Sus scrofa: one gene and its partners. The protein of the gene in region 1 purifies or fractionates together with the protein of each later gene. This does not show direct contact. Links are inferred from orthologs where the notes say so. Each region holds a gene or a part of one and is shown in the gene's direction. Other genes may lie near its edges.

What was found.
Region 2: the proteins of RPRD1B (region 1) and POLR2M purify together in Homo sapiens (affinity purification with mass spectrometry; 3 studies listed by BioGRID and IntAct, counting the BioPlex papers as one, with this or other methods). This does not show direct contact. The link is inferred for Sus scrofa from reciprocal best matches to the Homo sapiens genes RPRD1B and POLR2M.
Region 3: the proteins of RPRD1B (region 1) and POLR2F purify together in Homo sapiens (affinity purification with mass spectrometry; 4 studies listed by BioGRID and IntAct, counting the BioPlex papers as one, with this or other methods). This does not show direct contact. The link is inferred for Sus scrofa from reciprocal best matches to the Homo sapiens genes RPRD1B and POLR2F.

The regions. Positions count from the first base shown.
Region 1 is NC_010459.5:41,121,403-41,125,046, forward strand, and holds part of RPRD1B (regulation of nuclear pre-mRNA domain-containing protein 1B), read left to right. Parts: intron 1-475; coding exon 476-602; intron 603-3,644. UniProt on the Homo sapiens protein: Interacts with phosphorylated C-terminal heptapeptide repeat domain (CTD) of the largest RNA polymerase II subunit POLR2A, and participates in dephosphorylation of the CTD by RPAP2. Transcriptional regulator which enhances expression of CCND1.
Region 2 is NC_010443.5:114,264,013-114,268,246, reverse strand, and holds the start of POLR2M (protein GRINL1A), read left to right. Parts: upstream 1-1,384; 5' UTR 1,385-1,543; coding exon 1,544-1,656; intron 1,657-1,717; exon of another isoform or gene 1,718-1,839; coding exon of another isoform or gene 1,840-1,919; intron 1,920-3,618; coding exon 3,619-4,234.
Region 3 is NC_010447.5:9,914,858-9,919,026, reverse strand, and holds the start of POLR2F (DNA-directed RNA polymerases I, II, and III subunit RPABC2), read left to right. Parts: upstream 1-1,305; 5' UTR 1,306-1,417; coding exon 1,418-1,437; intron 1,438-3,121; coding exon 3,122-3,191; intron 3,192-4,169. Other genes in the region: C5H22orf23 (UPF0193 protein EVG1), read right to left, coding at 681-984. UniProt on the Homo sapiens protein: DNA-dependent RNA polymerase catalyzes the transcription of DNA into RNA using the four ribonucleoside triphosphates as substrates.

The DNA.
Region 1 (3,644 bases):
AATTTTGGGAGAGGCTGCCAGAATTGAAAATGTCATCTTTGTGACAATCATTTTGTAGAAAAAAATCCAAAAAAGAATTTACTCAGTCAACACACAGTTGCTAAGCATCTGATGCATTTACCTTTATTCTATATTGGAGGCCATTCTACAGTAGAAAGGCATCCTTTGAAACTAAGCAATGTGAACCAGACTCCATTTTCTTAAGCTGCTGAAAACATGTTCTTTAAAAAAAAGTTTTAACGGTTACGTGGAATTTCAATTCTGTTCTACTATGGATTTAGAAAAATCAACTCTGCATTCTCTTAGAATTCGTATCATTGACTTCAGTATATGCTCTGGGATAAGAACAAATGATTTTTTTTTTAATGTCAAGGATGATCATTTTTAGAATTTGCCTCTACTTTGTTTAACTATTTCTTTAAACCCCATGCCCCCATATATCTTAATGCATAGTGTTGTTTGTGTTTTCATTTAGACCGAAGAACTAATCAAGGCTTTGCAGGACCTGGAAAATGCTGCATCAGGGGATGCTACTGTCCGACAGAAAATTGCTTCTTTACCCCAGGAAGTACAAGACGTTTCTCTTTTGGAAAAAATAACAGGTGAGAAGGTAGTTTGGGTGAAAGATGAGGGAAGGGGGACATATCTCCAGTGCATCAAACCCCAGGACATGCTTATGTCTGCAGGTACAGACTTTCCGTGTGGCATTGGGTTCTCTGTCATCTTGGGATTTGCAAACATAACTCACATGCTGAACAAAGAAGCTGCTGGAATAGTCCAAGCTTGAATAGTGACTCTAGGAATTATTGCAGAAATGCTAGCGTGCCACAACCTGTGGTACTCAATACAACAAGTAAGGTCTGTTGAAAACACAGTGCAAATTGTGTGCGTGGGGGGCTGAGGAGGGGGAAGACGTTAAACTCATGATCCTCTTACCAGAAAAAACCTCAGTGCTGTGATTTATACACTGTACACTGACACACCCACAGAAGATAGTGCCTTCAGTGCCAAGAACTCCAGGTTTGTATTGTTAGTCATGTCATTTTTGCCCTCTTGATGATCACCCCCAATTAAACAGTTGGTATTATTCCTGCTTTATGTGAGGGCAGTTGAAAGGAAGGAATGAGGCATGAACTCATAGAGAGTGTGCTCTGTGCCAGATGCCTCTTCAGCCTAGGCTGCAGAGCCTGTGTTCTTTCCACTGCAGAAGCTTGGACCACTCCTGTCTGAGGTCCACCGTTTCTTTCCTCTAGTCTCTTGACTTGGCTCTTCACTCATTTCCTCTCTAGCCATTTAAAGGAAGTCAAGGTTTCTTATGAAATGTTTCCTTCATTCGGCAGATGTTTGAGGTGCATTGTATAGCAAGCATCTGCCCTTGGTGCCCTGCCCACATCCCCTTACAGGTTAAGTGCACCAAAGAAAATAAGGCAGAGGTGGGGTAGGTGGGCAGAGGATTACTGAAGGAGGTAGTGTTCCAAAGGTGCTCAGGGAAGGTCTTCCTGGTGAGGTGGTTCTTGATCAGAGGCCCCCTCCCCCCCAAATTAGGAAGCAGGAAGTGAGGATCAGGGAGGGAAGGAAGTGCCACTTAGGCAGAGAGAGCTGTGCGCGTGAAGACCTTCAGGCAGGGCTGTGCTTCATTGCAGAACAGCACAGAGGCCTTCTCAGTCGCGCAAGAAGCGTATTGGCTCACTCTCTGCTCCCCACCCCCGCAACAGTTACACCCACTGGATGTAACAGCTCATTGGTCCCACAGTCTGTTGATCCGTCCACCTTTTACCAGCCTTTACTCCCCTTAAGGTCTTGTTTTCTTCGTTCTTCAGCTTGGAGTCTTTATAATCACTCTCTCACACACCCTCAGTCCCTTTCGCTCTCCTTCCCCTTCACTCTGGTCTTCTGGCAAAAACCCAACTTACCTCCTGGTTAAATCCAACTTTTTTGTGGTTTCCGGGGCCACCTCATTTATTCTGTCAGTCACAATCTGCAAAATTGGAAGCAAATTAATATAAAATTAGCAGTGTACATGGTTTCATTTATCTGTTTTCACTGACTTATATGGCTTTTAAAAATTATTTATTCATTTTTATTGTATTTTATTTTTTTTGGTCTTTTTAGGGCTGCACCCCACAGTTTATGGAGGTTCCCAGGCTAGGGGCCCAATCAGAGCTGTTGTCTCCAGCCTACACCAGAGCCACAGCAAGGATCCGAGCCTCATCTGCGACCTACACCACAGCTCATGGCAACGCCAGATCCTTAACCCACTGAGTGAGGCCAGGGATTGAACCCACATCCTCATGGATACTAGTTGGGTTTGTTAACCGCTGAGCCACAACAGGAACTCTTCATTTTTATTTTTAGTTACGGTGAAATACACCTAATAAAATTTACCATTTTAACCAGTTTTAAGTGTGCATTAAGAAATGTTTAGTACATTCATGTTGTGTAGTCAATTTCCACAACTCTTCGTCTTGCAGAACTGAGGCGCTATAACATTAAATAGCAACTAATTTCCCCACCCCCAGCTCCTAGCGGTCACCATTCTTTTTTTTTTTTTGTCTTTCTAGGGCCACACCCACGGCATATGGAGGTTCCCAGGCTAGGGGTCTAATTGGAGCTGTTGCCACCAGCCTACACCATACCACAACCACAGCAACGCCAGATCCGAGCCATGCCTGCAACCTATACCACAGCTCAGGACAATGCCAGATCCTTAACCCACTGAGCGAGACCAGGGGTTGTGTTGCTTTAAGCCACCAGGTTTTCAATTCTCTTGCTGGTTTCTCCTCTTCCCCTTCACCTCTTAATTTTGAGTACTTAGTCTTCTTTCCTAGTTAGTTTCACTGACAGGTCCTTATCCTGTTTGATGACTTTAAACAACAGTTTTTATGCTAATGATTCCTTAATTTACATATCTAGTGTTGACTTCCCTTGGACGTGAGACCAATACATCTAGCCTCTTGCTTAATATTACTAGTAACCAAACTTATCTTCCCTCCAGAATTTCTCTCGTAGTCTTCCCCATCTCAGTAAATGACCCCCTCATAATTCCTGTTGGTCTGAACTAAAGCTGGTGTCTGACTCCTTGTTACCACCTCCACTGCTACTACCTCGAGCGCGTCAGCACCGCCTTCACTTGAGTTATTGCAACGGCTCCTATCTGGTCTTGCTGCTGCCTTCTAGTCCCCGAGCCATCCGTGTGTCCTCATCATAGTAACCAGAGTGATGTGTTAAAGTGGAAGTTCAGTCATGTCTCCTCTGCTCAGAACGCTCTAGTCCTATTGGCTCCTTGCCAGGCACTTTCCTCTCTAAGGGCCTTTGCACTTAGTTCTTTCTTCTGCCTGGAATGATCTTCTCACATTGACACAGGCCGTATTCTCTCAGTGAAGCCTACCCTGACCTCCTTATTTTAAAATGTCCTAATTTTTTCGCTTTTGCCTTGTTTTTCTCTAGAGTTCTTTAAGTGAGTAAAATATCATCTATTATTTCTTTTCTTCCCTGAGAATGAGAACTTGGAGGGAGAGAGTTTTTGTCCTTTGTGTTTCCTGTTGGCTTAGGGCCTAAAACGGTGTTGGACACCCACTGGGAATCCATGTATTTGTCAGACTAATGGGAAGGTTTGGGGTGTAAAAGTCTGGTGAGAGTGAGTT
Region 2 (4,234 bases), on another chromosome or scaffold:
CACAAGGAATTACTACCATGGCAGGGAATAAAGGCCTTCAGGTGAGGTCCAGGGGCAGGATGATGATGGTTTTGCAGGAGCTTGCCAGGGGACAGCTAACTGATAAAGGCCTTACTCAAATGTTTCTCACTTAGCCAGGGCTGGAGCAGGTTAGTGAAATCCTTGGGCTTAAAAGCAGGCCTTATGTTGAGAATGTTAATACATTAGTTAAAACTGATCAGAATGGACCAGATTACAAGGACACAAAAACGGTTTCAACTGTGCACCCTGAAGCAGTTTCCGATTTTATTTAGAGCTTCTGTCTGATTGGGAGGGAATTGCTTGTGTTTATCATATCACCTTACAAAAGACTGAGAAAATGTAAATTTTCCATATCAAAGAAGGGGGAGGCTGGTGTTGGAGGTTATGGGGTTTTTCAAACCTCCCAAGTGATGTATGCTGTGAGACTAGCATGCTTCCTACTATTTCCTTTGGGAAACAGCCCTCCTAGCTTAACTATTAAGAGAAGCTAAGCACTAGATGTGATGCTTACTGCATTGCTTTCCTCAACAGCTTAAAACACCTTCTTACAGTTTGGAAGATTTTCAAACTGGTGTGGTAGAGCAGCTGGGCTTTTGAGTTTAATATCTGGTGTTGTCACTTACTAGTTTCATGCCCTGGGAAAACTTACATCAGTTTTTGTCTGTTTTTCTGCAGGAAAATACGGAATTGTGAGAGGTTCTCAACTGGCTTGTACAGCACCTCCCACCCCATCACCTCTTGCGGGCCTTTGGAATTGTGTGTATGAGCGTGCTGGGGATGGTAGTGGGTGGGATGCGTTTGGTACTGTTATAAGGACTCAGGAGTGCTAAAGCAATTAATGCACAGAAGCCAAATACCAGATATGCAATGCCTAATTCAGTGCCGCAAAAGAAGACTCCTGCTCCAAACGCCGGAGCCTCATTAAGAAACGCTGGTAGTCCTTAAAGGTTCTTCCAACGTTAATATCTGCTAACTTCACTGAACCTCGGACTAGGCGGGCCACGCCATGGGCCGGGGCCTCCCATGCCCTATCCGGCACATTCCCCAACATTATCAATGGTAACTCATCACTCAGATTTCCTCTTGTACTTCTCAGATGCCAGGGCCCATCGTACAATTATATTGTTTGACTGTCACCTGATAAGCATCTGACCCTCTCCCCCACGCGGTAAACACCTTAACAGTTGGGAGCGGGGCACTCACCAAATACTTTCTGAATAAACAGGCGAAGAGCTGAAACTGGTAACAGACTGACCACGCCAAACATGCCCGGCCGGCGTGTGACGTCTCACCGCAACTCCCGCCTCTTCCCGCCCCTCCGGCCACCCCCTCCTCCCTGTCCGTGTTTGTTTCCGGCGTTTCAATAAAGCTCGATTCGGCTAGAAGAAGCCCTGTTCTTCCGGGAAAATGGCGACTCCCGCTCATTCGCCGGAGTCCCTGCCCGCCGCGGATCCGGCGCCCGCAGCGGGAGCTGTCGCGGACGTCGAGTGCCCGCCGCCTCGCCAGCCTCAGCTCCCGCAGAATGTCCTCGCTGCCTCGCGGCTTCGAGCCCCAACCTCCCGAGGACTTGGGTCAGCGGAGTTTGGCAGAGCTGCGGGAAACGTTGAAGCGCCAGGAGAGACTTTTGCGCAACGTGTAAGCCTGGGTCCCGCGGAGTCACCGCCGGTCTCCTTGGGTTCGGGCTAGCCGGGACGCGCCCCTCCCCTCCCCCACCCCGATCCTTTCCTCGGAAGGTGACCTTGTCACAGTCAGCTCTTTGCGAGGTCCGCGGGCGAGTAGCCGGCCTACAGCCGTAGAGCTGACCGCGTCCAGCCAGGCATGGAGCGCATGTGGGATGGCTTCCCGTGCTCCTCCTCGTTTTACGTACTCAGCTTCTGTGTCGGTTTTCCGAACGGACGGTCTGTATCCCAAATTTTTTTGCCTTTGCCCACCACCCCAGTCGTGCCCCAAACATCCTGTCAATTTCATCTCTAGATTCTCTTTTTACAGGAAGTGGGAAGAGGGGAATTAAAAAAATGGCTTATAGGCAAAGAAAGTTTGGCTAACATTTAGATGATAGAGTTAATGGAATTTAGCAGAGGATCGATATAATGAACATGATTTTTTTTTAACCTTATTTTAGCAGGTTTGTGCAGGATAGTTTTGAGGGAGTAAGAGGCAGAAGACAGTAGGAGAATATTTTCAGAGAGCCTCTCGACAAGGAGGTTTAAGAAAGTGAACTAACTATAAGGGTCATTGTAGGATTGGGAAAATTACATCAGATATGGAATAATTTGATGTGTAGTTGACAGAGACGGCTGAAGTTTCTTGCCTGTACTGGAGGCACTAGTAATAAAAATAGAAAAGTTGGGGAGGGGAGTAGATCTGAGGTTGATTTCACTTAGGGGAGCTGGGTTGATAGAAGTTGATTCTATCAGGTTAAAAACTGGAGAAGTGGTCATGAGGCTTAAGAGAGAAGAAGGATGGGAAAATAGAGGCATCCTAACTGGAGAGGGATGTTTAATAGTTAGAATTGGGGGCATGAATATAGTGTCATAAAGAGTAGAGGGCATGAGATGTAACTTTCCCTCCCCATTTATTGGGTGGCTAAAGAAAAGAAAATCAGAAAAGGAACTTCTATCACTCAGCAAAAGGGACAAGTGATCACTTGGGAGCTTCCTAGTAAAGACAACTATTTTGACTTCGTGAGAATGGTTTTTTTTTTTGGTTTTTTGTTGTTTTTTTTTTTAAGGGCCACACCATAGCATATGGAGGTTTCCAAGCAAGGTGTCAAAACAGAACTGTAGCTGCTGGCCTACAGCAACACCAGATCCGAGCCACGTCTGCAACCTACACCACAGCTCATGGTAACGCCGGTTCCTTAACCCACTCAGAGGCCAGGGATCAAACCTGCGTCCTCATGGATACTAGTCAGATTCCTTTCTGCTAAGCCACGAAGGGAGCTCTGAGAATGGGTTTTTAATCTGTAAGTGGCAAATTAACTTTTTGTTCTCCAGACTACTTTTACGCTTAAGCATCCTGAAGAGCTCTTGTCTTATATGTGGTATATCTACTGATATTTATCATTGCCTTAGGAATTACAAGTGAGCATCTTTAAAAGACAAGTACACACATTCTATTAATCCTCAGAGCAGTGGTATCATCACATATGAGGTGGCCTCTGCAAACCTTTCCTGTGCTGATGGTAAGCAAAGGAGAATGAAAATGGCAAAGAGTGTCTTAGTGTTATATAGTTTTGACCCTGCAGGTCCATCTACCTACCCTCCCCAGGAAGGTCTTGCATATCACACGTCTAAAAATTGCTAATTTGGGGGATGTCTTTTAATGAGTATCATATGCTTAAAATACTTTTGCTGAAATTCTAATTAGATGAGACACATGAGGCATATTTCCTATTCATGCAGCCACTTGTTTTTTTTTGGGGGGGGAGTATTTGGATAATGATTCTCTTATTTCATTCCTAATTGGGGCCAGTTGGAAATCAGATTTTTTACTTAAAGATCAGCTTTTCTCCCTTTGAGAATAATTCTTTGTCTTTATATCTCAAGTTTAAAAACAGGGCTCTCTCACATATGCCTGTTCTTTTCCTTTTGCCAGAAAATTCATTTGCAAATTGCCCGACAAAGGTAGAAAGATCATAGACTCTGTCGCCAAACTGAAAGCTGCCATTGAAGAACATGAAGAAGTTAGAGGGGGAAGTGACCTCTTTCATCCCGTTAATTTAGACTGTAAGTGGAGGACAAAAGCAAGTACAGTTGTTGATGTGGCAACAGATACGGCCCAGAATTCTGACCAGATACTTGATACTTCATCACTAGTTCCTGGCTGCTCCTCTATAGCTACCATCACGTCGTCTCAGACAACCTCACAGCGGGGCCTGGTCCATCCTACTCATGGAGGCAATGCTGAGGCCCCTGAGCCCGAACACTCAGTGAGCAAGTGCCCACCTTCCAGCAGCAGAGCCGCTGTGCCTTCCTCATCTGAAGCCAGTGAGCGACTCCCTCAGCATCACATTTCAAGTCAAGTAGAGGATCATTCTAGCAGCTCGGAGAACCTGTTTATTGATAGATTGCAAAGGATCACTATTACAGACCCTGGTGAACATCACTCAGAAGGAAACCCGAGTCTGGAGAACTTGACTGGCCTTTGGCGTGGGCCACAGAAGAAGCCTCATTACATGGAAGTGTTAGAAATGCGAGCAAAAAATCCTCTG
Region 3 (4,169 bases), on another chromosome or scaffold:
AAAGCTCACAGTGGGCTTAAAATCTTTTTTTGTTGTTGTTGAGTGAATGAACAAGCAGTCATTAAGCATGTGCCAGGGGCTGGAGTTACAATTGCGAGCCAAAACAGGCACCGTGTCCTGATGGGAGTTCATGAACTAGAAGGGCAGATGGATGTTAATTCAACATGAATTCATAGGGACACACAAGGTATCTGACTACAGGTTACGCTAAGCCCAGTGAAGGAAAAGGCACTGGGAGTGTGTGGGCACCTAACGGTTGGTTGCACTGTGTTGGTGGTGGGTGGGGAGGAAATAAGGCTTCTCTGGAGAAATTGAAAGTGTGATATAGTATGTGTCACTGGGTCACCATGCTGTACAGTAGGAAAAAAAAAATTGTATTGGGGAAATAACAATTACAAAAAAAAAGAATAACCAAAAAAAAAAAAGTGTGATATAAGGGATGCATAGCAGTTAACTACTCTAAAATTCGTGAGTTCTTTGACTTTTGGCCACTTTCGAGTTGCAGGACCCCCAAACTTTCCTGAACCCCAGGCTTCTTATCTGAAAAATGAAAACAGCAATTGCAAGCCATAAGTCATGCAGGTGAGAACTGAGTTACAGAGGTTAACAGTGACTACCGCTCTCCTTTTGTCCTTTCATGCACTGACACCACCGCCCCGCCCCGCCCGACCACCACTGACCTCTGAGCAGCTCGCAGGTTCTTGGGGTGTAAGCGGCCGGCTTGGGGCAGCGCCAGAAGCCAGTTCCTTTGGTCACAGTCTCCACCCTCTCCTGGGAAGCCATGGGAGGGCTCTGAGGAGGGAAAAACGCGACGACACACCCCCTGTCTCCCATATACAACCTCTGCTTCCGCATCCCCAACACCACCCAAAGTTTGGGTCTGGCGGGGGCGGGGCCCGCAAGAGAATCGTGACGCCGCCCATCAATATCGCGACAGTGCCCAATCCTCCCACCCGGAACAGATCCACTGGCAGATACACACATGCGAACAGAGACCTCATCCAGACCCGGCGCCTGTGGCAGGGAAGCCACCTCTGGAGGAAAGGGGCGTTAGGGTAACCTTGCCCGTTGTGTGATAGACCCAAACGGAAACCTCACTCTTAGGTAAGACTCCGGCTGGGTGCCCACTGAGAGTGGCCGCTAGGCTCTGAAGGAGCACCCGCGCCGGAGCCCTGCAGGAATGCTTTTGAGATCTCCGCTGCTCAAGCTCTGGTTATACACTCTGGCTACCATGGTAACAAGCTCTAGCTTCTCGGCGCGTGCGCACTATCGCCCTGCCGATCCTCCCGGAAGCAATTGCCTCTAGGTCACAGCGCAGGCGCAGAGTGCGCGTGGCGCAGCTCGTGGCGGAGGCGCGCAGTTTGCGGGTCTCCGCGCGACTCTTAGCGCAGAACCAGGGAGCTGCGGCGCGGGCGTCATGTCTGACAACGAGGACAAGTGAGTGCGGGAGCAAAGTGAGCTTTGCCGAGCCTGGTCAAAGGAGGTTAAGGAGCCGTTAACCGAGGGGCAATGCGTGAGGGGACTGGGGGTATTGAGGGGCCCGCGGAGCTGAAGAAGGGAAAGGCGGGGGGACCAGGAGCTTAGACCTGGTCACAGGCTGGGCCAAGAAAAGCCCCAGTTTGAGGATCCGGAGAGAATCAGTGAACGTGGTATCTTTCCACAAACTTTCACGGAGTCGGGCTCTGTCTCTTGATTTGGAATTACTGAGGTGAATTAGGCATAGCTCCTGCTCTTCAGGTAGGGGGCCCTTTCTAGAAAAGGGGACAGGCCCACAGACGGATACTGCAGGGGTCGTGTGAATTGCACGAAGTATGTAAAAGAAACCCAGCGGAGGGTCTGGGGAGACTTGAGGTGGTAAAAGTCTGGGAGGCTTGCGGTAATCCAGGAAAAAAAAAGGAGTGACTTGTACTAGGTAATCGTAGTAGAGGTAGTGAGAAGTGGTTTTGATTTCTGGGTTTATTTTGAAGCTAGAACCGGAAAGATTCCCTGAATGTGTGGAGGAGAGACAAAAATAGAGGCGTCTTTAGCATAAGAGTATTAGTCAAAGCTAAGAGAGGGGGCGATCATGGGGAGGCGGCAGGGGGGTGGGTGGTCAGTAGAGAAGAGGAGATGAATGAGCGTCAGAGCATCCTAACTGTGGAGTGCCTGGAGGGAAGAGAAGCTGAGAAAGAGCCACTGTGAGGCGGGGGAACACCAAGACCGCGAGGTGTCCTTTTCTTTCTTTCTTTCTTGGTCGCCCTTGTGGCATCTGGAGTTCCTGGGCCTGGGATCAGGTCCGAGCCACAGTTGTGACCTATGGCACAGCTGCAGCAGTGCTGGATCCTTAACCCACTGTGCCGGGCCAGGGCTCGAACCTGTGTCCCAGTGCTCCAGAGATGCTGCCAGTCCTGTTGCGCCGCAGCGGGAACTCCAGTGGAGAGTGTTTTGAGTGAGAGGGAGTGATTCGGTGTGCCACCTGACAGATCAGGCTAAATGAGAACAAGAATAGACCAGTGGATTTAGCAACGTGCAAATCATTGATGAACTTGAAAGGAGTGGTTTTGGTGGAGCCAAGGAGCTGAAAGTCTTTGGGAGTGAGATGATGACAGAATGTGAGGAGAAGAATTGGAAATGGCGAAGATGGACGACTCTTTCATGAATTTTTCTCCCACAGGGGGGCATGGAAATAGGGCTCTGGAGGGAATAGAAAAGGAAGCTTTGGCGTTCCTGTCATGGCTCAGTGGTTAACGAATCTGACTAGGAACCATGAGGTTGCAGGTTTGATCCCTGGCCTTGCTCAGTGGGTTAAGGATCCGGCGTTGCCATGAGCTGTGGTGTAGGTCACAGATGCGGCTTGGCTCTGGCATTGCTGTGGCTCTGGTGTAGGCTGGTGGCTACAGCTCTGATTAAACTCCTAGCCTGGGAACTTCCACGTGCCGCGGGTGTGGCCCTAGAAAAGACAAAACCAAAAGAAAAGAAAAGGAAGCTTTGTTTTAGTAAGTTGAGGACATCAAATGACTTAATAAATTATTATTATAAAATGATTTACTCAGTAAGTGCATATTTATTGAGCACCTCCTGCTTATCAGATCTATGCCCTCTTTGATTCTTGTAAGTGATGCTCTGCTTTCTTCTTGTACAGTTTTGATGGCGATGACTTTGACGATGTGGAGGAGGACGAAGGGCTAGATGACTTGGAAAATGCCGAGGAGGTAAGTGTTTAGCCTTGGGCTCTCCTCTCGGCAGCCCAAGTTGCCAGATAGCCCGGCCAGTGATGACTGAATGCATCTGCTTCTTGTCTGTAGTGAGGCCAGTTAGAGTGAGGAGAGGTCTAGTCCTGGGTGGTGGAGGTGGCCCGCAGGGTGGGCCTGAAGGATTTTGTCCACTTGGACCACAGCCTGTAGCTTCTGGGGTGGTTAGTTTACTGACAGGTGAAATATCCCCTTCATTCATTGAGCAAACATGTGTTGAATGTTTATTGTGTACCAGGAGCGCTGCAGGGTGGGGCTACATAAAGAGCAAGGGGGAGAGTGACCTGGAATAAAGCTGGAGAGGTAAGGGCCAAGGTCAGGCAGGATGTTGTAGCCTGCAGGTGGTGGGAAGCCACGGACAAGTTTTGAGCTGGGGAGTGGCATGGTCCAGTTTACACTTTAAAGGAACACTTTGGGGAGTTCCCGTGGTGGCTCAGTGGTTGCAGGTTCGATCCCTGGCCTTGCTCAGTGGGTTAAGGAGCTGGCGTTGCTGTGAGCTGTGATAGTAGGTTGCAGATGCAGCTCGGATCCTGCCTTGCTGTGGCTCTGGCGTAGGCCGGCTGCTACAGCTCTGATTAGACCCCTAGCCTGGGAACCTCCATGTGTCGCAGGAACGGCCCTAGAAAAGGCAAAAAGGCAAAAAAAAAAAAAAAAAAAAGGAATACTTTGGGGAGGAGCAACAGTAGGAGAGGCCAATTCAGGAGCTCTCACGGACCTCCAGGTGAGACCTGTAGCTGGCACTTGGGTGCTGATACTGCTGGAGATGAGAAAACGGATGCAAGAGATATTTTGGTAGATTGGATGTGGGCTGAGAAAGTGGGAGATGCCGAGGAAGACGAGTTTCTGGTGAATGAGTTACTAGCTTCATGGCTAAAGTGGGGCTTTGTGTCCTGTGTGACCGATGGATGGGGATGCTTGTGTGTTAGTTTAGGCTGGAAG